4 linked regions of the Saccharomyces cerevisiae S288C genome follow. Changing the gene in region 1 together with any one later gene gives a genetic interaction. Each region holds a gene or a part of one and is shown in the gene's direction. Other genes may lie near its edges.

Region 1 (6,841 bases):
GTTTGCAATGTGTACTTATTGTTAGTATATGTATTTTTTGCATGCGGCGATGAAGGCCAGTAAAACCAACGCTCTTGCATGCTTACCTCTTTCATCAGCTGGTGATTTAAAAACCATTCCCAACAATATCAGTGACATATAAGAGAGCCACGACCCCGTTTTGGTACACTTAAATATGATTATCGTTAATATCATAGAAACTAGTTTGTAACAAACCTGGATTGTTCTATTTAAAGCAGAATACTTTTGGAGGTTTTGGGTTGATACGGTGCTCAAATTTTCCTCTGGTGCTGGTAATGATAAAGTAACGTTGTCTCCGTCAATATAATCATCAGTAAAACTGTTGGTATTCTCATTCACTTCCGAGATTGTACTGAAGTTCAAAGTGCTATCCACATTTTCTTTCCAGAATTTTTTGCCGGGTTTGGAATTTATTAGCATTTCATCTAACGTCTCCTCCACTGTCTTCGCTGTGGGTCTAGCATCATTATTTGGTTGTAAAAGAGCGTCCATTAGGTGAAATATTCTACGGTCTATTGGTTTCAATTTCATCGCTTGATGCTTTTCAATCATACCTTCAGTGTCGAACCTAAAATTTTTGATGCGTACCTTCAAATCAACTATATCCAACTGTGGTTCAAAGGGCAATTCACCGAAGACAATAAAATAGCAAATCATTCCTAGAGAATACATATCGGAAGCAAAGGTGTATTCATTGTATGTGTGACTCGATCTTGAAGGCAACGTAGAAGAAGAAACTGGTCTCCCCTGGATAATAAGGTCTGGTGCTGTAAACTCTAATGTTCCTGTGCAACCAGTACCCAATCTGGACTCTCCTTCCAACTGACTTTCCCCCAAATCGCCAATAACAATTGATGGGAAAAACTCATCTGAATTGTGTTCCCTGTCGTATACGTTGTCATTCTCATTGTCACTTTTAAATGGAGTCAATAATAAACAGTTGGATGGTTTCAAGTCCCTATGTATTAGGCCAATACTGTGCAGTTCGTGTAAACCTCTTGCAATATCCCTTATAATGGATACGAGCTGTTCCGTAGATAGGCCAACTTCTCCTGATTTACCGTGATTTTTCTTGCGAGTTCTAAATTTTTTTTTCCTCTCTTCAGGTGATTCGGTATCTGAGAACCTATTGAACACTTTTCTTAGAATACAGTCTTCTAAATTGCCGCCACTGCAATACTGTTGTAAAATGAAAATACAAGGAACTTCTTCTTGTGAATCCGATTGGCTCCCATCAATGGATCTGACAAATCCAACCGAAGAATCCATTTCGAGCCACACATGATTATACGTAATCAAATTGGCACTTTTGTGAGTTAGCGAACTCAACGCTTTCACTTCCCGTATGCACTTATTAAACCATTCCATATCATTTCCAATAGGTATTTTTTTTAGTGCAAAAACACCTAATTCAGTATTACCAATTGTGTGTACAACTTTGTAAACAGAACCTCTTGCACCATTTCCCAGCAAAGACAATATTTTGAAAAATTTACGAAAGTATCCGGGGATAAACAAATCATCTGGAATAAAGTATTTGTTTTTGCTGAACTGTCCCTGCTTATTGTTACTATCGTTTTGTAGGGCGTAGTGCCGATGATTTCTTTCCAATGACTGAAAATATCTTCTTGAAAAGCTTGAATTGGCAAATTCAAATCCAAGTGGCACAGTGTTCTCTGGAATACTGAGCCTACTGCTTTCTGATTCTACTCCAGCAGAGGCTCGACGATGAAGTTGTCTTCTGTTTATAATATCAGGGTTAATTTCCGTACCACATTGCGGGCACACATAGGAAGCAATAGGGCTTTTGTATTGATGAATCCCTGAAGGAAAGTCCAGTGCTGATAAAGATGCAGTCTGGTCTTCATTTAGTTCAGAGTCATTATTACTGTTGTCCTGTTGGAAAAATGATAAAGTTCCTGAGGTTGGATTAACAACCACCACTGATTTAGAATTAGGATCATCTAAAATCAGCGAACCTTCTTCATATGGTACTAAACTCATTTCTAAGTTCTACTTATGCTATCCCTCAAACTATATATCTAATAGTGTTTCTTCGGTTACCTAGTTGTCACTCATAGGATCTATATATACAATGTCCTTCCCCCCCACCCCCTTTTCTGAAACGTATACAAAAAATAAAGCTTGAAATACGTTATTACGTAAAAAAAGTGTACTGTAAAAGCTTACAAAAAAGAGTTTGCGAAAAATTATAAATAAAAAGTAGTCTAGGTAAAATATGAAATGTTTCTAATTATGCATTTATGTGATCCTGAAAACCGCCCTTCTTACGTTGGACCATGATGATCACATTTATAAATATGGTTTTCTTTCCAATGCGCATTTCACTTTCTGTGAGTTCAATTTTCCCAAATCGTCAAAGCTTTTGGAACAGTCAGAGCACTTGTATTTTTTCTGATGGGTCTTAATATGTTTGCTCAAATTTGACGATTCGTTGAATCTCTTACCACAAATCTTGCATTGTAAAGGTTTTTCACCAGTATGGGTTCTTATATGAATCTTCAAAGAACTTGAAATCGCGAATTTTTTATTACAAATGTGACATTTGTAAGGTTTTTCGCCAGAGTGTGTCCTGGTATGCTGAACTAAAGTTTCTTCGCTTGAAAAACACCTTTTACATGTCTTGCACTTATAAGGTTTGTATTTCGAATGCACTTTTAAATGACGGATTAATTTTTGTCTTTGGGGGAACGTACGATGGCAGTCATGCCACAAGCATTGGTATTCAGACTTACCCCGGGTTAAATGTACTGCTTCTAAATGGTCGTTTAATTCCTGAGCACTGGAAAATGACTTATTGCAACCATCCCATTGGCAAATCACCTGTTCCGGCTGCTTGATTGGCGGTATATTGGAAACATCATTTGCAGACGTCATATCAGGTGCTCCATCTGCTTTAGAAACTTCGTGTGTTTGTGGGTTGGGGCAATGTAGTAAGTGATGTTTTTCCTTTGATATACTACCAGGCAAAAATGAGTCTGGGTTGGCAAATTGAATATCAAAATTGATACCATGTTGACAATTAATATGGTTCACTATGGAACATGTATCATCTCCAAGGAAATCACAGTCCTCCCAATTACAAGCTAATGGTTCCATAGGGTGTTTGAAATCTTGAGAGACATGATCCTTCAAAAGATGTCTTTGTAGGTCAAATAGTGAGCTACAAGACTCAGGACATTCTTTCCATTTGCATTTTAAGTCATTGTTTTTCTCTTCTTTAAAACACCAGTTGAAATTTATAGTGCTTGTTGTCTGTATAGGAGGAGAGATGCTAGAAGGTAATGAGTCTTCCAAAGAGCTGAAATCAGTAGATTCTAGATCTTTTGTAGGCCAAGATCTACGATTTTTCTGATTCTGATGAGTGACTTTGGGTAGCGAAGGGGGCTCACTTTGATTTCTAAATCTTTCATAACTATACTCTCTTGAAATTAAGTCATTTAAATCGTTGTTAGTTAGATCGGCTGTTGTGTTCGCCGCGCTAATCCCTGAATTGTTCACAATATTGTTTCTATTTGGTTTGTGAGAATGAAACTGTATTCTATGGTGATGGTGTTGATGATCAGTTGAAGTTGCTCCAGCCGTATTGTTATTGCTTCCATTAAGATTATTTTTAGGGTTGCATCTATTAATGCTTGATAATAGAAGATTCATTGTTTGGTTACCGTTTTCATTATTTCCTGTGCTCGAACCATCGCAGCCGTTACCGGCATTATTGTGGTCGTGGTGGTTAATGTGTTTTCCAAACGGTACTTCATACAAAGAAGAAATATTGCATAAATCTTCCAAAATCTTCAAATCCATATCAGTATTTAAGATATGTTCGTGATAAGCATGATTTGTACCTTGCAAAGTGTTTGTAGGTTTTCGTAAAGATGAACATTTGGGTGGTAGTTGAGGTGGCTTTGACTCTAAATGCATATGCTTAGAACAAGGTTGATTATCAGTGCTCTCCTCACAAAATTTGCAGTATTTATGGAAAACGTCATCATTATTTGATGATTGATGATCTTGAACAAACTTGTGACCACTAGTCGCGCTCGTGCTAGCCGTGCATGGGGTGTCACAGGTCAAATCGCAATCAATCTCCGATAAGTGAGACATCAGCTGAGAAAAGCTATCTGGTACAGTATTATTGTGATTGTGAGAGTCGTGATTGGTACTATTACAGTACTGATCATGAAGGTTAAAATTTGGCATCAAGTGATCGTTCTTTACATCTGTGAATATTGCAACATCATTGCCGTTCTCAGATATGTCTTTCTTTGTCGGTTGATCAGATTCACCTTGTTTTATATTAGCCTCACTTTTGGGATGAGTTTCGTCACAACATATTTCCAAAATCTTGGGCGTACAATAACAATCATCGGATCCAGGTGGTGGGTTCGGTTTATTTTTCTTGGAAGAGGGCAGCAGTATCAGATCGTCGTTAAACCAAGAATCTTTTCTACGTGGTAGGTCGCTTTTAGAATTCTGTTGGGGACTTGTCGGATCAGAAGCTACCGAATGGAAATTGTTTGCAAAAGAATGATTATTAGAATTATACGTTGCAGTATCATTATATTTTGTTAATGACGGATTATTGTGATAATTCAAGAACTCGAAATGTTGGCAGTCGGTGTACTCCTTGCATTTCTCATTGACGTGGCAATCACCACCCATATCATGGCTAGCTCCAGATGCAAATGCGGAAGTAGCGGCATCAGCAACAGCTGCGGCTGCAGGTGTTGCCGAAGCACTACTGTCGTTCACAGGCGCGCTGTGGTGAAGGTGACCATGGATATAGGTCAGGTTGTTGTAGTTATGGATGTGCCCGTGGACAATGCCTTCTTTACCTATCGTCAGAGCATCAGGCTTGGCAGAAGCAGCAGTGGCCGCACTCGTGGCCATCGAGTCATCGCGCTTGGGGGAGTCCCTGGGAGTCAACGCATCCATTAGTTCCTATCCTTCTTCTATTTAAAAAACCGTAACACATAAAAAGTAAAAGTGTAATGCTTCCGTCTCGCCGCTGGCCTATATTCACAGTGACTGCAGTTGCATCTTATATTGCCAAGCACGTTTCATCATGACCTTTAGGGTAGATGACTGCTGTCAACTACTCCGTCTGCAGTGATATATAATCATGTTTTGGGCGTTTAAGGAAGGAGAATTATTTCCAACAGTTGAATAGGAAGATCCCTAGAGTAAATCGCAGGCAATCCAGTACTAAGAAACGGCGATGACAATGGAAAAAAATGGAGGTAATAGCAGCCGTGGTGGCCAAGTAGGCGGCAAGTCTGTGTGTGTTTACTGCGGGTCTTCATTTGGCGCTAAGGCGCTATACTCAGAAAGTGCAGAAGAATTAGGAGCCCTTTTCCATAAGCTGGGATGGAAATTGGTATACGGTGGAGGCACTACTGGTTTGATGGGCAAGATAGCAAGGTCTACGATGGGACCTGATTTAAGCGGACAGGTTCACGGTATCATTCCAAATGCACTTGTGTCTAAGGAAAGGACAGACGAGGATAAAGAAGATGTTAATAAAGCATTGTTGGAGTCTGTAGAAAATCATAAGGGCGCCACTCCTATTTCTGAAGAGTATGGGGAAACAACGATTGTACCAGATATGCATACGAGAAAAAGAATGATGGCAAATTTGAGTGACGCGTTTGTTGCTATGCCTGGTGGATACGGGACTTTTGAAGAAATCATGGAATGTATCACGTGGTCGCAACTGGGGATTCATAATAAACCAATTATCTTGTTCAATATCGATGGGTTCTATGACAAATTATTGGAGTTCCTCAAACACTCTATTCAAGAACGGTTCATCAGTGTGAAGAATGGTGAAATCATTCAAGTTGCCTCCACTCCGCAGGAAGTTGTTGATAAAATAGAGAAGTACGTCGTTCCAGAGGGCCGTTTCAATTTGAATTGGAGCGACGAAGGTCACGCTCACGAGGATTGTGCTAAATAATAGAAACGTAAGTCATGTATCTAGTTTAAACGATCTGTATAGATAATGTGGTGAAAAATCCAAATTTTTAGGAGCTGTCTTTCTAAGCCCGAAGGCTGGAAAAAATAGTACTGATGGCAAAGACATCATAGCTTTAAAGTCCATTGTTCTCAAAAGAAGCTCAATAGACCATGTCTTCTGAATCAGGAAAGCCTATTGCTAAGCCTATTAGGAAGCCTGGCTATACCAATCCGGCTTTAAAAGCCCTTGGTATACCCGCCTTGAGGCTGCCTTCTCGAAACTGGATGATCTTTTGGTCTGTGTTAACAGTATCCATCGGTGGCATAGCCTATGACAAATACAAGCAACGTCAGATTCTGAGCCATGCAACAGACTTGGTGAAGCCTTTGGCAGAGGAGTCCATGGAGGTAGACAAAGTGCCACGAAAGATCACTGTTTTTATTGCACCTCCTCCAAATGATTATCTGGAGAGTTCGTTGAAAGTTTGGAGACGATATGTTAAGCCTGTACTGTATTATGCAGGGTTGGACTATGAATTAGTTCAAGAGGATAGGCAAGGGATTATTAGAACTAATGTAGCCAACAGAATCAGAGAATTGAGAAAGGAAATATTGGCATCGACGGATGGGCAGCCAGTTAAAGAGCCTAACCAAACGGTAGCAAAACCAAGTGGTTCTTCAACCAGTAAAATTTCATCACTACTACCGTTCAATAAAATCATTCAAGATCCTGCTGAAGAAGATGACTCGTTTGATCCAGAAATCGGTAAAAAGTTCAAGGAGAACTTCGACTGGAGAAACGTTATAGGTATCTTCTATACAATGCCAAAACCGAAGCATATAA
Region 2 (9,738 bases), 300 kb from region 1:
CCTTTCGGAAACCTCTATGAGAAGGAAGCATGACAAGACAATCCAGGAAAGAGATCATACCATACAGAACGGCTTACGGCATTGGAATTCAATATACAACAAAGTCTCAACCCGCGTGGTAAACAATCTAAACTCTTCGTACCCAGACTTATGGTATTATACACTGGTCCATGTATATGGCCCTTTGTTTGCCTTTGATGAGATACTATCTGCGCAAGAGACAAGTTTAGTGATAATTGCTTCTTTGGTTCCACAAGATGTTAATCCTCAATTGCGTGGGCATTTGAAAGGTGCCTTGAATATTGGTTGTGATAAGGAAACTGTGGAGGCAGTGAGAGGATTGGCTATACTAATATCTCAGTGGTGTGGTGTTAGTTGGAAATCTGGTGTTGTAAAATTGTAAGCCCCTTTGCCGATCGGCCACTCGTTATGCTCATAATATATGTACCCTTATTCATTAAAATTAATATATATATATGTATACTAACAACGGAGAAATGCTTGAACTTTTCTATACTTCTATCATTGTATGCAAAATACTAACTCACTTATTTGTCTTCTTTGCCGTTAACCAGATCACTTTCTATTAAACATATCAAATCCAAAAATTGACAAATTTAAACCCTTACCGCCATCGGAATTACTATGCTCTTTACTCTTTTTATCCACCGATATGGGTACTGAGTCTCGTTTATGGCGTAATTCATCATTCATTTCTGAATCTTTTCTTCCATATAACTGCCACCACCATTGGACTTTCTTCAGATCCGGCGAAATCCACTCCACTTTTTCTTCCTCTTCAAGGTTTTGATCGTGCTCATTCATGCCGCTTCTTTTTCTCTGTATGAAATTTGGATTTATGAACTGCTTTCTTCTAGATCTGAAGTAGTCCCAGACACTTTTAGTCTTGTTTGGCAAATTCTGTTGAAATTTCTCCTTCTCGCTATTGGAAAGGAATGTTCCATATTGGCATGAATACAAGTGGTAAACTAGTCTTCTTAAAAATCTTTCGTTGAATTCAAATAGATCTGGGTTTTGCGTCAAAAGTTGGTATACACAGTCTAAAAATTGTTGGAAAACTGGGGAGACGAACTTTAGACTTTTCTTGTTCAATTTAAAGTTTTCGTTAAATTTTTTGGAAATTCTACTCAAATTAATTAAATTCGTCTCATCTTCACCTCCTTCATCATCTTCAGCATAATCGTCTTGAGTGTTAACACCTATGTCAAGATCATCGCCATTGGTATCCACATCGTTGAAGTTGGAATGCATAGTGTTATCATGAAATCTAATATCAGAGTTTAAATGACCACTTCTTTCCAAAAACCGGTGACCAAAAGAGCACCAATCTTTTTCCACTAGGATCATAAAACCTTCAAAAGTTCTATAGAAAGGATCCAAACAAATTTCTAATAGTGATACAACTTGACTGGTTCTGTCCCAACCGTCAGAACAATGAACCAAAACGTTGGAATGATTGAAAATGATGGACTTTAAAAGCATATCAACGGATTTTAAAATAAGAGTGTTCAACTTCAACCAATTGGAAAATTTTTGACTCCTAATTAAATTCTGTTCCAGTGGTAAATTCAAATCGCCACCTTGGCAGATAACTTCCGTCATGTATGCAGCTGTGTTGGAAACAATATGAATGTTATCTATACCAAGAAATAACCGTGTAACTGTGGGCAGTTTTAGACTTTTATCGACACCCATATTGTTATCAGCTAAAAAAAAATTATAATTATCCATATTTTCTGTCCCGCCACCCAACGCCATCTGTGCTAATGCATTTGTTCTGGGTCTGGCATCTACTATTACATGTTTCGTTCTTCTAATATCTTTATTACAAAATGAGTTGAAGCTTTCCCAAACTAATTTTTCATCTTGAATGGACCTCTGATTGATCAACCCCGGTAATGGTTGAGATGACCTAAGAATGTTGCAATCTGTTGCCTTGTGATGATAAGTTAAAACAGGAATTCTTTTCTGTGATCTAAACTTCGAAGCATGCTTCAATAATATATCTGACGTGGATCTTGGTACAAAAAGTTTTGAGGGATACGTTGGACAAAATTCATAGTGTTCGTTTACCGTGGATAGCCTCCAAGGACATGTTTCATCTTTACTGTCGAGGCCCTGCCTTCGAAATTCCTTAATTGGGTCATATATATCCCAGCTATCGGGTGAAGGTAGTTTCCTTTCCAGATTGTTGGATATGTAAATAAATGCATATAGTTGCGTGATATTGGACAGGACCGTCAAATTTAAGATGGAATCATACACCTTTCTTGCCTGTAGATGTAAATCACCACCGAAATCCAATGAGAATACCGCATAATCTTTCCCAATTACCTTGATATTTACAAAAGACCATAGATCCTTACCCTGGTAAAGCTTGTAATTCTGTGAATCCGTTCCCTCCAATTGGATTTGATTAGTGGAAGTCAACTTGGACAGTAATGTACTACCCGGGTTTTTATGCACTCCATAGATCAAAGGATATGGAAACCAAAATTCCGTCGACAATTGTGGTGACTCAAAGATCAAATGGTGAGTAGTCAAATGTAAAGTACCTTGTGTGGCCGTACCTCTTCTATGCAGCACTACATTAGATACTTTGGCAATCTTGATGTACTCCATCTTTGCGGAATGGTATACTATTTCTTTTCCCTCTTTTTAGCACTATTACACCCCGCCCACAAAATAAAAATAATAACGACGACCTAATCTCACCAAGTGACCCTTGTAAAACCTCCTTTTCTTTATAATGTTTCTTTTCTTACTAATATTTGGTACATTTAGGGTAGTGATAAAAGAATGGCAACATTGTTATTATTGTGAAAAATGAGGAAAATAGAAAATCAGAAACCCTAAAAAGTGATTTTACCCTATCAGAAATATTCAAATGTCCTAATTAAAAATAGTAAATCCCCTAAACATTCAGATTGTAAACTAGGGTTGAGAAAATGACTCATCCACCACTGTCTTCTTTCCTGCGGCATTCTATAGATTATTGTGAATGACTCTTATTGATGAGATGGCAATAACTTTTGAATATCAGAGATAGGAACCTCCATGTCGTAACGATTGTGTCACCTTGAGTAAGCATCGAGAAAATCCAATCTTTTTTTTTCCGTCATAAGCATTTCTGCCATGCTATTTGTATATATATAATTACTAATACGTCTTCTATAGTATGCCTTATCTCTTTTTTGAAGCGCTATTTAAGTTTAAGCATCGAAAAACTAACATCTATAGTTAAAATTAGTTCTATAAAGGAAGAGCAATACAGTACATAGACAGGAAGAAAAGAATGACATCGATTTATACATCAACAGAGCCTACGAATTCTGCTTTTACTACCGAGGACTACAAACCTCAATTAGTTGAAGGAGTAAATTCTGTACTTGTCATTGGATCAGGAGGGCTCTCTATTGGTCAAGCTGGTGAATTCGATTACAGTGGTTCTCAAGCTATCAAAGCTCTGAAGGAAGATAACAAGTTTACTATATTGGTTAACCCAAATATCGCTACTAACCAGACTTCTCATTCCCTGGCGGACAAGATTTATTACTTGCCCGTTACACCAGAATACATCACATATATCATTGAACTTGAAAGGCCGGATGCTATACTTTTAACCTTCGGTGGTCAAACAGGTCTAAATTGTGGGGTGGCTCTGGATGAATCTGGTGTTTTGGCTAAATACAACGTCAAAGTTTTAGGTACTCCTATCAAAACTTTGATCACTTCTGAAGATAGGGATCTTTTCGCATCTGCGTTAAAGGATATCAACATTCCCATCGCAGAATCATTTGCTTGTGAAACCGTGGATGAAGCTTTGGAGGCTGCTGAAAGGGTCAAATACCCAGTTATTGTCAGATCTGCATACGCTTTGGGTGGGTTAGGCTCAGGTTTCGCTAACAATGCAAGTGAAATGAAGGAACTTGCCGCACAGTCCTTGTCGTTGGCCCCACAAATTCTTGTTGAAAAATCTTTGAAAGGTTGGAAAGAAGTTGAATATGAAGTGGTCAGAGATAGGGTTGGTAACTGTATTACAGTATGTAATATGGAAAATTTCGACCCACTTGGTGTTCATACTGGTGATTCTATGGTTTTTGCTCCTTCGCAGACCCTATCAGATGAAGAGTTTCATATGTTAAGATCCGCCGCAATTAAAATCATTAGACACCTTGGTGTTATTGGTGAATGTAATGTCCAATACGCTTTGCAACCTGATGGGCTAGACTATAGAGTTATTGAAGTGAACGCACGTTTATCTCGTTCCTCTGCATTGGCGTCTAAGGCCACTGGTTATCCCTTAGCATACACTGCCGCCAAAATTGGGCTAGGCTATACTTTGCCAGAATTGCCAAACCCAATCACAAAAACTACAGTGGCTAACTTTGAGCCATCTTTGGATTATATTGTGGCAAAAATACCTAAGTGGGATCTTTCTAAGTTCCAATACGTGGACAGATCCATTGGTTCCTCTATGAAATCAGTTGGAGAAGTTATGGCTATTGGTAGAAACTATGAAGAAGCCTTTCAAAAAGCATTAAGACAGGTGGATCCATCATTATTGGGATTCCAAGGTTCTACTGAATTCGGCGATCAACTTGATGAAGCCTTGAGAACTCCAACTGATAGAAGAGTCCTTGCCATTGGTCAGGCCTTAATCCATGAAAACTATACTGTTGAGAGAGTTAATGAATTGAGTAAAATTGATAAATGGTTTCTTTACAAGTGCATGAACATTGTTAATATCTATAAAGAGCTTGAATCAGTTAAATCTTTAAGTGACTTGAGTAAAGATCTCTTGCAGAGAGCCAAGAAATTAGGGTTTTCAGATAAGCAGATTGCGGTTACTATAAATAAACACGCCTCCACAAACATTAACGAACTGGAAATCAGAAGTTTAAGAAAAACGTTAGGTATAATCCCTTTTGTCAAGAGAATCGATACTTTGGCCGCAGAATTTCCAGCACAAACCAATTATTTGTATACCACTTACAATGCTACAAAGAACGATGTGGAGTTCAACGAAAATGGTATGCTGGTTTTAGGCTCTGGTGTCTATCGTATTGGTTCATCTGTAGAATTTGATTGGTGTGCCGTGAACACCGCGAAGACATTAAGAGATCAAGGCAAGAAAACTATCATGATAAATTATAACCCAGAAACAGTTTCCACAGATTTCGATGAAGTTGATAGATTATACTTTGAAGAATTATCGTATGAAAGAGTGATGGACATTTATGAGTTGGAGCAATCTGAGGGTTGCATTATTTCTGTCGGTGGTCAATTACCTCAAAACATTGCCTTGAAACTTTACGATAACGGCTGTAATATAATGGGTACCAATCCAAACGATATTGATAGAGCTGAGAACAGACACAAATTCTCATCTATTTTGGATTCTATTGATGTTGACCAACCTGAATGGAGTGAATTAACATCAGTAGAAGAAGCAAAATTATTTGCTTCTAAAGTTAACTACCCTGTGTTGATTCGTCCCTCATATGTTCTTTCCGGTGCGGCAATGAGTGTTGTTAATAATGAGGAGGAACTGAAGGCTAAATTAACTTTGGCATCTGACGTTTCTCCAGACCACCCAGTCGTCATGTCTAAATTTATTGAAGGTGCTCAAGAAATTGATGTGGACGCCGTTGCTTATAATGGTAATGTCTTGGTACATGCCATTTCCGAGCATGTTGAAAATGCGGGTGTGCACTCCGGTGATGCTTCTTTAGTCTTACCGCCACAACATCTTTCTGACGATGTGAAGATTGCCCTAAAAGACATTGCTGATAAGGTCGCAAAAGCTTGGAAGATCACTGGCCCCTTCAATATGCAAATCATCAAGGATGGGGAGCATACATTGAAAGTGATTGAATGTAACATTAGAGCTTCTAGATCATTTCCATTCGTTTCAAAAGTTTTAGGCGTTAATTTTATTGAAATTGCTGTCAAGGCATTTTTGGGCGGTGACATTGTACCAAAACCTGTTGATTTGATGCTCAACAAAAAGTACGACTATGTTGCTACTAAAGTTCCTCAATTTTCCTTTACAAGGTTGGCTGGTGCAGATCCTTTCTTAGGGGTTGAAATGGCATCAACTGGTGAAGTTGCTTCATTTGGTAGAGATTTAATTGAAAGCTATTGGACTGCTATTCAAAGTACCATGAACTTCCATGTACCACTACCTCCAAGTGGTATATTATTTGGAGGTGATACATCTCGAGAATACTTGGGCCAAGTGGCTTCCATAGTGGCCACTATTGGTTACAGAATATACACAACTAATGAGACCACTAAAACGTATCTACAGGAACACATCAAAGAAAAGAACGCAAAGGTTTCTTTGATTAAATTTCCAAAGAATGATAAGAGAAAATTGCGTGAACTATTTCAAGAATATGACATAAAAGCTGTTTTCAATTTAGCCTCCAAGAGAGCTGAGAGCACTGACGATGTTGACTATATTATGAGAAGGAATGCTATTGATTTTGCTATCCCATTGTTCAATGAACCTCAAACGGCTTTGTTATTTGCAAAGTGTTTGAAGGCAAAAATTGCAGAAAAGATCAAAATTTTGGAATCTCATGACGTTATAGTTCCACCAGAAGTCCGTTCCTGGGATGAATTTATTGGTTTCAAAGCATATTGATTGTGCAAAAGAAAAACCTGCCTCTAATTGTATTACTGTATATTATATAATGGATTTTTTTAGAGATATTTTTAATTTCAAAGAGACTTCTTAGTGTATATTCTACCCCAGTATTATTATCTTGAACAAAAGTAGATCGCAAAACTTATCACTAAAATTCAAATGTATTTTCGAAGTGAGTAACGCATGGGCCGTGGAAAATAATTCATCAATCAATACCTCAGGCAAGTGTATTTACTATGCCTTTATATCTTCCGTATAATAATAGAGCGTTGATTAATTGAGATGTGCAACAATGTGACCAGTACACGTAGATTATAGCATTTTTCACCGATCAAGCTTAAGCTTAATGAATATGCAGTAGGGGGCCTTCATAAAAAAAGCTGTCCTTCTGGTTGTTGGCCATTACTTGGACTTCTTTCTTTCTGAAATGTTCTGCTAGGTGGAGCAACATGGGTAGATGATGTATAGAGAACGTTTACGCTACGGAGAGAATCCGCACTAAAATTCGTAGTGACAGATGCTATATACGCGCTTGCTAAGGGATAACCCATCAAGCCGGTCTGCTACGTTAGTGGCATGAGGCATATCATCTTCGTCTTCATCAATAGAGTTTGAGTTAATCCAAGCGGTTGCATTCTCGAGTGTTGTTAATAATCTAGTGTCAACCAATTTCTCTGTAGTAGCTTCTATGACAGAGATATTAAGTGTGTAATCACTTGTGCCCCAACATGTTGAGTAGTGGATATACGTATTGGATTCGGTAGAATTTAGCCATGCAGCGCTCAAAAAATTCCACGTGAGGAATATTTCCCAAGGGATGAAAATTTTAAAGCTTCCATCTACGGTCAAGATAGAGTACCTCCAAGACATACGTGGAAACTAGTAGACATGTGTGATGATAGCTATGATGCTGTAGAAGAATACTATTTCAACAAAAGCGTAGCCGGGATTAGTGGCCAGGAGAACTGGAATAAGCAGTTAGCTACCCAAGTGTATTCAAGAAGTTTACAACCAGAAATATTACCAACCCTAAAACCTCTTTCATGTAACAAAGAGAGGGCCAATGCAGGAAAAAGAGTTTCAGAAGAAGAGCAGATAAATGGAAAACGTAAGAGAAAAGATTAGAAGTTTTGAAAGAGTTATTTGTAAAAAGAACAATTATTAGTTAAGAATAGTGGTCGCATTTAGTTTAGAGTAACTCTAGAGCGGTATTATATATGCTAGTTATAGACAAAAACGTAAAAGTGGGTGAATGTTAAAGTCCAGAACATCCCACTACGTCAATGAAGTAGGCTCGATGTTCATAGACATGTAACCAGTCTTCAACCAAACCGCTCATACCCTCTCGAAATCCATCCTTTAAAGTTAACCTGTTATTTTTACCACGGTATTCAATATCTTCCGCATTCTGAGGTAGACCAACTTTGTTAATAAACATCTCTAAACCAGCCGGATGATAGAATGGTGGAACCATAGGAATATAATCACCTGTATGCACAACCCTAAAATAGCCCTTACGAAATTGAATTTCATCTTTAAGAATTGACTCCTTTTCTATAGCATCTGTTTCAAATAACTCGTCTACCCATTGTTTCATTTCACTGTTAAATATCTTTGGTGTTGCGAATGTCAGCACTAACGGATCAAAGCCTCTTATCTTTAATTCAATCCCAGCCAAACTTGCTAATGCTGCCCCCAAGGAGTGCCCAGTGACAACGATCCTATATTCCGGAAAGCTTTCCAGAATCGACTCCATTTTTTTAAAGACGTCCATCCCGAGAGTTTCTGTGAACCTTAGAAATCCTCTATGCATTTTACAACCTTCACATTCTCTGATTTTTCCTTCCTCTATAAGCTTACGATATTCCTTAACGCAAAGGGGAGAATAGTTAACAGGATATATTTCAAAATCACTAAACCAATCTTGTCTTGTTGTGGATCCTCTAAATGCTAAAATAACAACCTTTTTTCCGTGGTCAACAGCCAGATAACCCGAGCCTAATTCACCTTTTTTTGCATTAAGAACTAATTCAACCACTGTTTGACCCGCTGTTGGGTTAATTATCTCATCATTGCAGAAGTTAATATGTGGTGGACAACCTCCGTCGTTGAAGGTTTTATTAACAAGAAGTAAGTTGTCAGATATGCAGCTTGATATAGAGCTTGCCTTAATAAAATATACTAGACGCTCATAGATATATGGAGTGATGGGCAGGTTGGACGAACAATGAACAACAGGCATGAGTACTACAAAAAGATATAGTATGAAAAGTCTGGCAGGCATCATTGTTATGGGTTTCTCAATCGAAGTTTTGGATAGTTCCTGGCTACAACTTTTTTTTTGGAGCTCAATCAAAATAATTCATCCAAGGAAACGAAGGTTGAGACAGAAAGAATATATGGCCCATTTTTGTTTGAATAAAAGGGCGATTTGAATGACGGAGTCTAAGTAATCTTGAAATTAAATAGTACTTCTTTTCTTGGTGTTCTGTGTTCTGCGCGGATCTGTTACGGCGCCAGATAAATGTCACAAAAACAAATTTTTCGGGAGGCACTCTTGCAAGCTTTAGCTAAACAGTTCTAGAAGTATATTAATCAACGTGGCTAGTGCCCATAGTCCGCACATAGAGATTCCGACTAACTTCATCTCCTTTGTGAGGCGCCGTTTAATATTGTTAGGCCCTCCGAAGAATAACAGCAAGAGAATAATCTGTAGGATAATGAAGACGCAAGAAACTATGAATTTGTAATTTAATGTATTATCCAATTGACTTGTTTCTTGTAATTTAACCTTTCTTAGGAACCACCATTCGTTATCATTAAAAGCGCCAATAAAAAGCATTGATACTAGCCCACTAAAGCCTATTCCACCCATAGAATTCAGCATTACGCCTCCTAAGCAAGATGCGCATGATATCATAAAAAATTTTGTGGCTAAACGAACTCTGTCTTGGTAGTGAGTTTGGGTTTTGTAGAGCCTGCACATAGATATGTTGGAGATCAAGTCTCCTACTGAGTTGCCCCATGCGAAAATGGTAAGGCCCAAAATAGCTTTCGATAAT
Region 3 (7,079 bases), 240 kb from region 1:
ACACAGCAAGAATGAGTCTCAGCACAATCATATGTATTGGTATGGCCGGATCCGGTAAAACAACTTTCATGCAAAGGTTAAACTCCCACTTGCGGGCAGAGAAAACGCCACCATACGTAATCAATCTTGATCCTGCAGTATTGAGAGTCCCCTATGGTGCAAACATCGATATCAGAGACTCAATCAAATACAAGAAAGTGATGGAGAATTACCAGCTAGGTCCGAACGGTGCCATTGTCACCAGTTTGAATTTGTTCAGCACCAAGATTGATCAAGTTATTAGGTTGGTGGAACAGAAGAAGGACAAGTTCCAAAACTGCATCATCGACACTCCAGGCCAAATCGAATGTTTTGTGTGGAGTGCGTCGGGTGCCATTATCACGGAATCTTTTGCCTCCAGCTTTCCCACAGTGATTGCATATATCGTGGATACGCCTAGAAACTCATCCCCAACTACATTCATGAGTAACATGCTGTACGCCTGCTCCATTCTGTATAAGACCAAACTTCCCATGATTGTCGTTTTCAACAAGACCGACGTGTGCAAGGCAGATTTTGCTAAGGAATGGATGACGGATTTTGAGAGTTTCCAAGCAGCAATCAAGGAAGATCAAGACTTGAATGGTGACAATGGGCTGGGCTCCGGGTACATGAGCTCATTGGTCAATTCTATGTCACTGATGCTTGAAGAATTCTATTCCCAGCTAGACGTCGTGGGCGTTTCCAGTTTTACCGGAGACGGATTCGACGAATTTATGCAATGCGTAGACAAGAAAGTTGATGAATACGACCAATACTATAAGCAAGAACGTGAAAAAGCATTGAACCTAAAAAAGAAAAAGGAAGAGATGAGAAAGCAAAAATCATTGAATGGCCTGATGAAGGATCTAGGGTTAAACGAGAAGAGCAGCGCTGCAGCCAGCGACAACGACAGCATAGATGCCATTAGCGACCTCGAAGAGGATGCCAATGATGGTCTTGTGGATAGGGATGAGGACGAAGGCGTTGAGAGAGAATACACGTTCCCAGGCGAAGAAAGAACAAAAGGTGAGGTCAACGAGAACTCTGCTCCAGACCTACAAAGGAGATATCAGGAAGCTATGCAACAAGTAGGGAAAACGGCCAGTAGCGAGACTGCAGAAAATATCGCGAAGTATATTAGAAACTAAATAACTACGTATAGTCCTTTGGTTCGGCGATCATTCGACCCGCAGAGAAAAAAAAAGACAATGGAATTGCAAAGACGAACGTCAGATAAACTCCCACGTTTATTATCTTTTGAACAATAGAGGTAATCCTTCCACAGAAATCCCTGTAGAATGCAGTGAGAAACAAGAAAAAAAAAAAATTTTTTTTTTTTCTCTATCCTGCGTGGGAGGAAAGAAAATTTTTCTCGATGAGCTGAAAAGTTTTTATCATATAAATTACATAAGGCAAATCCAGTGAATACACGTGTATATTTGACGGTAGCTCTAGGTTTAGGTTAGGATAAACTGTAGTCCTTCTAACATACCACGCAAGAAAGAAAAAAAAAAACATGTCTACTAACTTTGAAAAACATTTCCAAGAAAACGTCGATGAATGCACTCTAGAGCAACTAAGGGACATCTTAGTCAACAAGTCCGGCAAAACAGTTTTGGCCAACAGATTTAGAGCTCTGTTCAACTTAAAGACTGTTGCTGAAGAATTTGCCACTAAGCCAGAGGAAGCCAAAAAGGCCATCGAATACATTGCCGAATCCTTCGTCAATGACAAGTCTGAGTTGTTGAAGCACGAAGTGGCCTACGTGTTGGGTCAAACCAAGAACTTGGACGCTGCTCCAACTTTAAGACACGTTATGTTAGATCAAAATCAAGAACCAATGGTGAGACACGAAGCCGCTGAGGCTTTGGGTGCCCTAGGTGACAAGGATTCGTTGGATGACCTAAATAAGGCTGCTAAGGAGGATCCACACGTTGCTGTGAGAGAAACCTGTGAACTGGCCATTAACAGAATCAACTGGACCCATGGAGGTGCCAAGGATAAGGAAAACTTGCAACAATCCCTATACTCGAGTATTGACCCAGCCCCACCTCTACCATTAGAAAAGGATGCTACCATCCCAGAACTACAGGCCTTATTGAATGATCCTAAGCAACCTTTGTTCCAAAGATACAGAGCCATGTTCAGACTGAGAGATATCGGTACTGATGAAGCAATCCTGGCCTTGGCCACTGGTTTCAGTGCAGAATCCTCCCTTTTCAAGCATGAAATCGCCTACGTCTTCGGTCAAATAGGTAGTCCGGCTGCTGTCCCAAGTTTGATTGAAGTTTTGGGCAGAAAGGAAGAAGCTCCAATGGTTAGGCATGAAGCTGCTGAAGCCTTGGGTGCCATTGCTTCTCCAGAAGTTGTCGACGTCTTGAAATCTTACCTCAACGATGAAGTCGATGTCGTCAGAGAATCTTGTATCGTTGCGCTAGATATGTATGATTACGAAAACAGCAACGAACTAGAATATGCTCCAACTGCTAATTAGAAGAATCAGCATCATCAATAATGATAGTAACAATAATCATTGTATAATCTTGTATTTTATACTTTTCAAAACCCGCCATTTCCGTTATATATACAAATGTATCAAATAGCAAAAAAATTATTTATTTTCGAAACCGTTCTCTCGAGCTTCAGCTTTCAACACTGGTCTTCAAAGCATAGGAAACACTCACATAGAGATATCTAAAAACGAACGATAGCAGAATGAGCAACAACGAAATTGTATTTGTCACTGGCAATGCCAACAAGTTAAAGGAAGTGCAGTCGATTTTGACTCAAGAGGTCGACAACAACAACAAAACCATCCACTTAATCAATGAGGCCTTAGACCTGGAAGAATTGCAGGACACGGATCTGAATGCCATTGCGTTAGCTAAGGGAAAGCAAGCTGTTGCGGCCTTGGGTAAGGGTAAGCCAGTGTTTGTGGAAGACACTGCGTTGAGATTTGACGAATTTAACGGTCTACCAGGTGCTTATATAAAATGGTTTTTAAAGAGCATGGGATTGGAAAAAATTGTGAAAATGTTGGAACCCTTTGAAAATAAAAACGCTGAAGCAGTTACCACCATTTGTTTTGCTGATTCTCGGGGTGAATATCACTTCTTTCAAGGTATTACAAGAGGCAAGATCGTTCCAAGCCGGGGACCCACTACATTCGGCTGGGATTCAATTTTTGAACCTTTTGATAGTCATGGACTGACTTACGCAGAGATGAGCAAAGACGCAAAGAATGCTATTTCTCATCGTGGTAAAGCCTTCGCTCAGTTTAAAGAGTACTTGTATCAAAATGACTTTTAGGTGATGTGCTGAGAAGATAAGAGGAATTATGGATAGATTTTTTTTTTTTTATTCTTACTTTATGTCGCCTCTATATTCAATTATATAAAGATGCCTGTATATTAGAGTTGGGATATTTTAACCAATAAGTTTAATAATTGGATGTGCTCGTTCGTTCCGTTGTTTAATCTGGAATCCGTAGTAAACAGCAACCAAGATATTTGATTTTTGAAGTTCGTATCAAAGTTATCGTTGGTGATGTAATATTCATGTAGTTGGTTAACTACTGACGCAGCAGACCAACCGCTTTTCATAAACGTATTGACGTATTTCTTAATCTCATCAAAATCACCACTTTTGACTTTTTCAACAATTTCTATTAGAATGTCATGAGGTACCACACCAGCTAATTCTTCCACTTGGGTAGAAGTTATGTTTTTACCATCACCCAAGTATTGCGCCCCCTTGGAAGCGGATTGTAATAATGTAATGCCTCTTCTCAAGTCACCTGCCGAAATGTCCAAGATCCTTTCCAAAACTCCATCATCACATTTAACATTTTCTTGTTCGCTGATAAACCTCAAACGGTCAATGGCATTACTTGCGTCTAGGGCTTTGAATCTAAATTTGGAACAACGGGACGCTAGCGGGTCAATAATTCTTGTCACATAATTACAAATCAAACAGAATCTTGTTACTCCTGAATAGGTTTCCATTGTTCTACGTAATGCACTCTGTGCATCGGCAGTCATTGAATCGGCCTCATCGAGAATAATGATCTTATACGGTGGGCACGGATAGTTCTCCAAGTCATGTTTGCTAGGCTTGGATACAGTCAATCTTGCAAAATTTTTTACCTTTTCTCTTACAATAGAGATACCACGTTCGTCAGAAGCGTTCAACTCCAATATTCTTGATTTCATCAAGTCGGGTCCATATAATTCTTTTGTTAGCGCTAAAATGGTAGACGTTTTACCAGTTCCTGGGGGACCATAAAACAACATATGTGGTAGATTAGCTGACTTTAAGGTTTTCTTCAAAACAGTAACGGCATGATCTTGAGCTGTCACTTCATCTAGGTTTTTGGGCCTGTATTTCTCAACCCAGGGTTGTTGTGCCAATGATTGCTCTGCGGCTAACTTTGATATCTTACGCTTTTTATTTGGACCAAACCCTTCAAACATCTCAAGTGATTGCCAATACTTTCCCCCAGTATTTCTCGCTGTCTCTCTATTTTACTTCTCTTATAGCATTGACTTGTTCGCTTGAGTTACTTCCTGATTGCTTTGAAATACGCGAAGTAAAAGAGTGAAAAATAACGATGAGAAAGGTTTTTGATAGAAGAGAACAAAAAAGGAACAGTGTTACAATAGTATATAGAGATGTCGAATACTTGGGACGATGTATGGGCATCAGACAGTGATGTCGAAACTGAACGATCTCCAGATTTAGTGAAGTTAAGAGAGAATCATAGCAAGAGGGGGTACTTGGACGGAATAGTGAGTTCTAAAGAAGAAAAGCTGCAAGAGGGTTTCAATGATGGTTTCCCAACGGGCGCTAAATTAGGGAAACAAGTTGGCATAATTATGGGGATTTTACTTGGCCTACGAACACGTTTTGGTGATGAAGATGAGGACCTCAGTAAGGCATATATTGATGCTCAAAAAGAATTACGCATTAACAAAGTACTTAGTAAGTCCATATTTGATCCAAACTTTGACTTGCAAGAAAAACATCCGCTCATAACAAAATGGACTGATATTGCCAATACCTATTGTGAAAAGTACCATGTGCCATCTATCCAATAAAGTTGTTTTAAATGGAGTTGATTTCACAATTTATGTACCTTATATCATCCTTCATTTCACATAATGACGAGATATTACAAAAATAATGATAATAATAATAATAATACACAATACTTGCACACGTATACAAATGCGTAATACAAAAAAAATAAATAGTAAACAAAGCACGAAATGAAAAATGACACCGCAGTCACCAGAATGGGCACCATCCAATATAATGTTGACATAACCTTTCAATAGAAGTGGCTTGTTGGATCAGTTTATCAACCTGCTCAGGGACGTCTAATTCATTGAACCTCTTGATATCATTGCCCGTTAATTTATCTGTAATACGTCTCAAAACAAGCATTGCTCTGGCGTTTTTGGTCTCATTTTGTTGTTCTGCTTCCATATTTGCCGCTTCTTCGACAGTAATTGCCCCCTTCCTTAATAATTCACTAGGATTAATCAACGGCAAAGGAATTCCAGTTTGCTCAGTAAGTTTTTGTGGCGGTAAATCAAATCCCCAATGGATCAAAGGATCAAGCGCAAAAGCTTCCAAGATCGCCATTAATGATTCTTTATTATCTCTTAAGACTCTCATGACATTTTCACAAGTAATTCGGAAACTGCCTTCAATTCCACTAACTTCCATTGCGTATGTTAACATCCTAGTTAGTCTAAATGGCACTTTTTCTGGATACTTTTCTCTTAAGATGGCAGCTTCAAAACAATCGCCGAAATCAATGTGGATAACTTTACCGGTGATTCTATCTAGCATCAGGTTGCTTGGATGGCGATCACCTAGTCCCAGAATATAACCAGTCATGGACATAACTGCTAAAGATCTCGTATAAGTTGTTCTACGTTCTAGCCATGTCTCTGACGACCTACTCTTTAACCATAATATTTTATAAAGGTCTTGGCCTTTTGTATTATCTAAAGCGTACGTGAATACTTCAATTTTTTGTAAAAGAGTCAAATTCTCATAATCGGGGGCCATTTGTAACATAACCCAATGTTCAATGTTCAACGGAATTTTTTTGGCATCACGGTGTTCTCTGATCAAAACGTGGAATGTGTCACTATTTGGTACCCATCCTAGTAAACCAGATTTAGGCGACAATGGAATAGCCGGGTATTGTTGGATATCCAAATGTCTCTTGAAACACTCTGAATCATTCTTCAACAAAGTGTTAACTAGACCAAATAATTGCATAACAAGGCTATCTTGTCTTATATCTTCATGTCCCTTTAAAACGTATTTATAATCTTTACCGTCGCTACCCTTGATGGAGAATTTTCTTGGCCTTTGCTTCGAAGAGATCACAGAAAATAATGGCTCAAACTTCGCTATTCTAATGGTAGGTTTTCCTGGGAAATATGTCCCAGGAACAGCCAATTCGAGATCATGAGTAGCCAGAAGCTGGGGAGAAACATGCTGTAAGTCTAAGGTTTGTAACTGTGGTATTTGACGTGTTATTTTTCTGAAGACGTTATAATAAATATCCCAAGCTTGGTTCAAATTATTGATGTCTTTTGACTTTTTGTAGTTATTCAACCATTCGTAGGCATCGTTCAAATCTCTACCAAATGATTTCTGAAACGATACCTCACTTAACGTTTGAGGCTCATTGCCTAAGTGTTTATGTAAAGGTTCTAAAGTAGAAAACATTTTTTCTATGTTATGTTCAACGAAAAATTGGCGGCTCGCATCTTCCAGTCCTTCATACCATAATTCGTGCCATAGAACGGCTACTCTGATCAACTCGTGACTAACTAATTCTGCCTGGTTTACCAGGACTGGACTATGAATCCTAATTTTCTCTATTATTGAAAGAGCCGCTTTTTGTCTTGAAACAGATTCAGACTTGATCGCGACAGTTAAAGGATACACGAGAGCTTGTGGATGAGCTTTCCCTAAATCAGAAAGCAACGACAAAAGGGAATTACTCACCGTAGGATCTGGCTGATGTATACGAG
Region 4 (7,124 bases), on another chromosome or scaffold:
CTACCACAGAAAGTGTACCACCCATTTGCCTTGAGGGATTGGTCTCCCTAGTCGATGATATGTTCGATCACATGAAGGACATTGACAGAGAAGAATTTGGCAGGCAAAAGAATGAAATGGAAATCTTAAAAAAGAGGGACCGTAAAACAGAGTTTATTGAATGTACCAATGCATTCAATGAAAAGCCCAAAAAGGGTATTCCGATGTTAATAGAAAAAGGTTTCATTGCTTCCGACTCCGATAAAGATATTGCGGAGTTTCTTTTCAATAATAACAACCGTATGAATAAAAAAACAATCGGTTTGCTACTTTGCCATCCGGACAAAGTAAGCTTGTTGAATGAATATATTCGTTTGTTTGATTTTTCAGGGTTAAGGGTCGATGAAGCTATTAGAATTTTGTTGACGAAATTTAGGTTGCCTGGTGAATCGCAACAAATTGAAAGAATCATCGAAGCCTTCTCGTCTGCGTATTGTGAAAATCAAGATTACGATCCATCCAAAATCAGTGACAACGCGGAGGATGACATTTCTACTGTTCAACCAGACGCTGATTCTGTTTTCATTTTAAGTTATTCAATTATTATGTTGAACACTGACCTACATAACCCTCAAGTGAAGGAACACATGTCATTTGAAGATTACTCTGGTAACTTAAAGGGATGCTGTAATCACAAAGACTTCCCATTCTGGTATTTGGATAGAATTTACTGTTCAATCAGAGATAAAGAAATTGTTATGCCTGAAGAGCACCACGGCAACGAAAAGTGGTTTGAAGATGCTTGGAATAACTTGATATCTTCAACTACTGTTATAACTGAAATAAAAAAAGACACACAATCTGTCATGGATAAATTAACACCCTTGGAGCTTTTGAACTTTGATAGAGCAATTTTTAAACAAGTTGGCCCAAGTATTGTCAGTACTTTATTCAACATTTACGTAGTTGCATCTGATGACCATATATCTACCAGAATGATAACAAGTTTGGACAAATGTTCCTATATTTCCGCATTTTTTGACTTCAAAGATCTCTTTAATGATATACTAAACTCCATTGCTAAGGGCACTACTTTGATTAATTCAAGCCATGACGATGAACTTTCAACTTTAGCTTTTGAATATGGCCCAATGCCACTGGTGCAAATTAAATTCGAAGACACTAACACTGAGATCCCGGTTAGTACAGATGCTGTTAGATTTGGTAGATCATTTAAGGGTCAACTAAATACAGTTGTTTTTTTCCGGATTATTCGCAGGAACAAAGATCCTAAAATTTTCTCCAAGGAATTATGGTTAAACATTGTTAATATTATACTAACATTGTACGAAGACTTGATTTTGTCTCCTGATATTTTCCCTGATTTACAAAAAAGACTGAAATTAAGCAACTTGCCTAAGCCATCTCCTGAAATTTCTATTAACAAGAGCAAAGAAAGCAAAGGTCTCTTATCAACATTTGCTTCTTATTTAAAAGGTGATGAAGAACCCACAGAAGAGGAAATCAAATCCTCAAAAAAAGCGATGGAGTGCATAAAGTCGAGTAATATTGCCGCCTCTGTCTTTGGAAATGAATCAAATATAACAGCGGATTTAATAAAAACTTTACTAGACTCCGCCAAAACTGAGAAAAACGCAGATAATTCCAGGTATTTTGAAGCAGAACTTTTATTTATCATCGAATTGACTATTGCATTATTTCTATTTTGCAAAGAGGAGAAAGAATTAGGAAAGTTCATACTTCAAAAAGTTTTCCAACTTTCTCACACGAAAGGCCTCACGAAAAGGACTGTTCGTAGAATGCTAACATACAAAATTTTGTTAATTTCGTTATGTGCGGATCAGACGGAGTACTTGTCCAAATTAATAAACGATGAGCTGTTAAAAAAGGGGGATATTTTTACCCAAAAATTTTTTGCAACTAATCAAGGTAAGGAATTTTTGAAGAGACTATTTTCATTGACCGAATCAGAGTTTTATAGAGGATTTTTACTAGGAAATGAGAATTTTTGGAAATTTTTAAGAAAAGTTACAGCAATGAAAGAGCAGAGCGAGAGCATTTTTGAATATTTAAATGAATCGATCAAGACAGACAGCAATATTTTGACAAATGAGAACTTCATGTGGGTCCTAGGACTATTAGATGAAATTTCATCAATGGGTGCCGTTGGAAATCACTGGGAAATAGAATACAAGAAATTGACAGAAAGTGGTCATAAAATTGATAAGGAGAATCCATACAAGAAATCGATCGAATTATCATTGAAATCCATTCAACTAACATCACACTTGCTGGAAGATAATAACGATCTGCGTAAAAACGAGATATTCGCTATTATTCAAGCTTTGGCACATCAATGCATCAATCCGTGTAAGCAGATAAGTGAATTTGCAGTGGTAACGCTAGAGCAGACGCTCATCAATAAAATCGAAATTCCAACTAATGAGATGGAATCGGTAGAAGAATTAATTGAGGGCGGATTACTACCGTTGCTAAATTCGAGTGAAACACAGGAAGACCAGAAAATCCTCATTTCATCCATATTAACAATAATTTCAAATGTTTATTTGCATTATTTGAAACTAGGGAAGACAAGCAACGAAACGTTTTTGAAAATTTTGAGTATTTTCAATAAATTTGTAGAGGACTCAGATATTGAAAAAAAGCTACAGCAATTAATACTTGATAAGAAGAGTATTGAGAAGGGCAACGGTTCATCATCTCATGGATCTGCACATGAACAAACACCAGAGTCAAACGACGTTGAAATTGAGGCTACTGCGCCAATTGATGACAATACAGACGATGATAACAAACCGAAGTTATCTGATGTAGAAAAGGATTAAAGATGCTAAGAGATAGTGATGATATTTCATAAATAATGTAATTCTATATATGTTAATTACCTTTTTTGCGAGGCATATTTATGGTGAAGGATAAGTTTTGACCATCAAAGAAGGTTAATGTGGCTGTGGTTTCAGGGTCCATAAAGCTTTTCAATTCATCTTTTTTTTTTTTGTTCTTTTTTTTGATTCCGGTTTCTTTGAAATTTTTTTGATTCGGTAATCTCCGAGCAGAAGGAAGAACGAAGGAAGGAGCACAGACTTAGATTGGTATATATACGCATATGTGGTGTTGAAGAAACATGAAATTGCCCAGTATTCTTAACCCAACTGCACAGAACAAAAACCTGCAGGAAACGAAGATAAATCATGTCGAAAGCTACATATAAGGAACGTGCTGCTACTCATCCTAGTCCTGTTGCTGCCAAGCTATTTAATATCATGCACGAAAAGCAAACAAACTTGTGTGCTTCATTGGATGTTCGTACCACCAAGGAATTACTGGAGTTAGTTGAAGCATTAGGTCCCAAAATTTGTTTACTAAAAACACATGTGGATATCTTGACTGATTTTTCCATGGAGGGCACAGTTAAGCCGCTAAAGGCATTATCCGCCAAGTACAATTTTTTACTCTTCGAAGACAGAAAATTTGCTGACATTGGTAATACAGTCAAATTGCAGTACTCTGCGGGTGTATACAGAATAGCAGAATGGGCAGACATTACGAATGCACACGGTGTGGTGGGCCCAGGTATTGTTAGCGGTTTGAAGCAGGCGGCGGAAGAAGTAACAAAGGAACCTAGAGGCCTTTTGATGTTAGCAGAATTGTCATGCAAGGGCTCCCTAGCTACTGGAGAATATACTAAGGGTACTGTTGACATTGCGAAGAGCGACAAAGATTTTGTTATCGGCTTTATTGCTCAAAGAGACATGGGTGGAAGAGATGAAGGTTACGATTGGTTGATTATGACACCCGGTGTGGGTTTAGATGACAAGGGAGACGCATTGGGTCAACAGTATAGAACCGTGGATGATGTGGTCTCTACAGGATCTGACATTATTATTGTTGGAAGAGGACTATTTGCAAAGGGAAGGGATGCTAAGGTAGAGGGTGAACGTTACAGAAAAGCAGGCTGGGAAGCATATTTGAGAAGATGCGGCCAGCAAAACTAAAAAACTGTATTATAAGTAAATGCATGTATACTAAACTCACAAATTAGAGCTTCAATTTAATTATATCAGTTATTACCCGGGAATCTCGGTCGTAATGATTTCTATAATGACGAAAAAAAAAAAATTGGAAAGAAAAAGCTTCATGGCCTTTATAAAAAGGAACTATCCAATACCTCGCCAGAACCAAGTAACAGTATTTTACGGGGCACAAATCAAGAACAATAAGACAGGACTGTAAAGATGGACGCATTGAACTCCAAAGAACAACAAGAGTTCCAAAAAGTAGTGGAACAAAAGCAAATGAAGGATTTCATGCGTTTGTACTCTAATCTGGTAGAAAGATGTTTCACAGACTGTGTCAATGACTTCACAACATCAAAGCTAACCAATAAGGAACAAACATGCATCATGAAGTGCTCAGAAAAGTTCTTGAAGCATAGCGAACGTGTAGGGCAGCGTTTCCAAGAACAAAACGCTGCCTTGGGACAAGGCTTGGGCCGATAAGGTGTACTGGCGTATATATATCTAATTATGTATCTCTGGTGTAGCCCATTTTTAGCATGTAAATATAAAGAGAAACCATATCTAATCTAACCAAATCCAAACAAAATTCAATAGTTACTATCGCTTTTTTCTTTCTGTATCGCAAATAAGTGAAAATTAAAAAAGAAAGATTAAATTGGAAGTTGGATATGGGCTGGAACAGCAGCAGTAATCGGTATCGGGTTCGCCACTAATGACGTCCTACGATTGCACTCAACAGACCTTGACGCTCACGCCGTAGCGGGCGACAAGTCAAACGGAACAACCGTTGCCGTTCCCATCGGAGTCCGACCTAGGCCGAACTCCGTGAATTTCTGATAACAACGGTCGGTAAAGACTGGTTCCCCAGTATATTTCTTCTCTCAGGAGCAGGGGCCAATGCCAAAAGCGACATTAACCCGGAGGACAAGGCTCCACTGTGTTCCACCGAATTTCCCACCTGATAATATCTGATAACCCGCCCATAGGTGGGGATCCTTCTGTAAACAGGTTTCTTAATCGTAGGAATTACCACTGTTCCACTGCCAATCGCAGCTCCCAGAGTTTCGTTCCCAGCCGCGAGCACCACAGCGTACCATGTGCGCCACGAGGCCTCAAACGTAAAACAATCGAAACGAAAAGAAACAGACTATAGGGGAGTATAGAGACAGCCGGCCAATAAGAAGAGGAAAAAGAAATACTAGCGTTTATCAATGTGGGTCGTTAACATATCCTGTTGACAATGATTACAGGTTAAAAGGTAGCGTAAGTGAATATTAACTATGGATATTCTTATACTTAGATAAGAGACATATAAAACACACGATGATTGATTGATTTTTATGACCAATATATGTAATTCGTAATTCAGATAGTTTTTATACTTTTAATGTGTGCCGAACCATATTACTAGTATATGTAACTACCATGTTATGTTCAATTGGCAGATCTTTAACTCGGCTTTAGTTATCCAAGTTACTTGCAATATTTCCTTCTGCGAGAGTACATTTGCCCTTAAACGTATACGAGGTATTCATTAATGTGTGTTGTAAGTATTTAGATTGACATCTATAAGAGAGATGAACATATATATATATATATATATATATATACATGCATATTTACTATAAACGCGGTTTATTCTGCCAGGCAAAGGCAATTTGCTTTTGTTCGCCAGGCTCAATGATAACGTTGATGACACTTGTTTCTCTTTTAGTCCGAGAAAGCTGCACGGCTTGTTGGAAGCATCTGCTCAGTTCGCTTATTGTGTTGACAAAAAAATCATTGGCACCCAGTCCTTTGCCTACGAGATCGTAACGGCAGTTCTTGCTTAGTGCCGTTGGAGGTAAATCACCCTCTATATCCTTTTCTCCATGGTAAATACCGCTATTGTTCATCACAACGATGACCAATGCCAGCTGACACCTTACTGCCGTTTCAATTTCCATGGCAGAGAATCCAAATGCGGAATCACCCTGAATCAGCACCACATCGAGTTCCGGATGAGATGCCTTGCATGCAAGAGCATATCCGAGCCCAATCCCCATAGTCGCGTTGGTCCCTGCGTCTAAACGGCGCCTTGGAGCGTCTGTAGGGAATGAAATACGCGCAATATCCATAGTATTTGCTCCCTCCGTCACAAGTATTGTCCTGTAATCATCGATAAGAGGCCTCAATGTTCCATAAACCTGGTTGTAATTCAATTGTGCCCCTCTAGTCTTCTCTTTCCTCAATAGACGAGTTTGATTCAGTTGAATTTTCTCTCGTATTTCTTGCTTAACACCACTATACTTCCAGCAGGAATCTTGGCGAGTCAATTCCTCAACTAAAGCGGTTACGCTCAAGCCTATATCTCCCCATATGGAAAGGTCAGCACCAGGTGAGACATTGTTATCCCCCAAGGTTTCGGGATTGGAATCGAACTGGATGAATATGGATTCTGAGTTCCATTTGGGTGAAGTACCAAAATGCAATATCCAGTTTAATCTTGCCCCGAGAACAAGAACAATATCCGCTATTTTCAATGCTTGAGATCTTGCAGATGAAACGTTCAGTGGAGAAGAGTCTGGGACAATTCCCTTAGCCATTGGGGTGGGTAAAAATGGTAGATTGAACGTATTTACTAGTCTGCGGATTTCGTGTGAGTTTTTTACCGCACCCTTTCCAATAACAATCAGAATATTTTTATTTTTATGTTGCAAAATAAGCTGTACGACTTTTTTGATCTTCGACGGATCAGGGCCACATATGTTTGGAGTTAATATCATCGGTAATTCATTTCCTGTACGGTCGTTTCCTTCTAAGGGTTTTTCATACTCAATAAAATCTGCAGGGACGTCTATGTAAGAAACCCCTGCAGTGCCTTGTATACAGTAATTCAAAGCCTTCTGAGTAATCATGTCAATATTGTCAGGGGTTAACTTTCCGGTAAACTTCAAAAATGGGGACAAAAGACTAACTTGATCCAACTCTTGAAACCCGCCTTTATGTATATCACTTTGAGAAGAACTCCCTGCAATTACTAGAAGAGGCCACCTATTACTCATTGAGTTGTATATACCAGCCAGTGCGTGGATTAAACCGGGG

Evidence for each region.
Region 2: of LOG1 (region 1) and CPA2, changing one suppresses a phenotype caused by changing the other (phenotypic suppression), as found in Saccharomyces cerevisiae (one study listed by BioGRID).
Region 3: of LOG1 (region 1) and HAM1, changing one suppresses a phenotype caused by changing the other (phenotypic suppression), as found in Saccharomyces cerevisiae (2 studies listed by BioGRID).
Region 4: of LOG1 (region 1) and URA3, extra expression of one rescues a mutant of the other (dosage rescue), as found in Saccharomyces cerevisiae (one study listed by BioGRID).

Annotation. Positions count from the first base shown.
Region 1 is NC_001142.9:328,097-334,937, forward strand, and holds LOG1 (Log1p), read left to right. Parts: upstream 1-5,260; coding exon 5,261-5,998; downstream 5,999-6,841. Other genes in the region: protein kinase IKS1, read right to left, coding at 22-2,025; ZAP1 (Zap1p), read right to left, coding at 2,335-4,977; Tim22-complex subunit TIM54, read left to right, coding at 6,169-6,841.
Region 2 is NC_001142.9:626,520-636,257, reverse strand, and holds CPA2 (carbamoyl-phosphate synthase (glutamine-hydrolyzing) CPA2), read left to right. Parts: upstream 1-3,316; coding exon 3,317-6,673; downstream 6,674-9,738. Other genes in the region: PXP2 (Pxp2p), read left to right, coding at 1-403; phosphatidylinositol-3-phosphatase YMR1, read right to left, coding at 577-2,643; ABM1 (Abm1p), read right to left, coding at 7,175-7,546; YJR107C-A (uncharacterized protein), read left to right, coding at 7,565-7,801; LIH1 (putative lipase), read right to left, coding at 7,932-8,918; ECM27 (Ecm27p), read right to left, coding at 9,243-9,738. UniProt on the Saccharomyces cerevisiae protein: Large subunit of the arginine-specific carbamoyl phosphate synthase (CPSase).
Region 3 is NC_001142.9:565,057-572,135, reverse strand, and holds HAM1 (nucleoside triphosphate pyrophosphohydrolase HAM1), read left to right. Parts: upstream 1-2,736; coding exon 2,737-3,330; downstream 3,331-7,079. Other genes in the region: GTPase NPA3, read left to right, coding at 12-1,169; LIA1 (deoxyhypusine monooxygenase), read left to right, coding at 1,538-2,515; RFC2 (replication factor C subunit 2), read right to left, coding at 3,432-4,493; YAE1 (Yae1p), read left to right, coding at 4,692-5,117; phosphatidylinositol kinase-related protein kinase TOR1, read right to left, coding at 5,308-7,079. UniProt on the Saccharomyces cerevisiae protein: Pyrophosphatase that hydrolyzes the non-canonical purine nucleotides inosine triphosphate (ITP), deoxyinosine triphosphate (dITP) as well as 2'-deoxy-N-6-hydroxylaminopurine triphosphate (dHAPTP) and 5-bromodeoxyuridine 5'-triphosphate (BrdUTP) to their respective monophosphate derivatives.
Region 4 is NC_001137.3:112,955-120,078, forward strand, and holds URA3 (orotidine-5'-phosphate decarboxylase), read left to right. Parts: upstream 1-3,212; coding exon 3,213-4,016; downstream 4,017-7,124. Other genes in the region: Arf family guanine nucleotide exchange factor GEA2, read left to right, coding at 1-2,846; protein transporter TIM9, read left to right, coding at 4,257-4,520; PXP1 (putative indolepyruvate decarboxylase family protein), read right to left, coding at 5,663-7,124.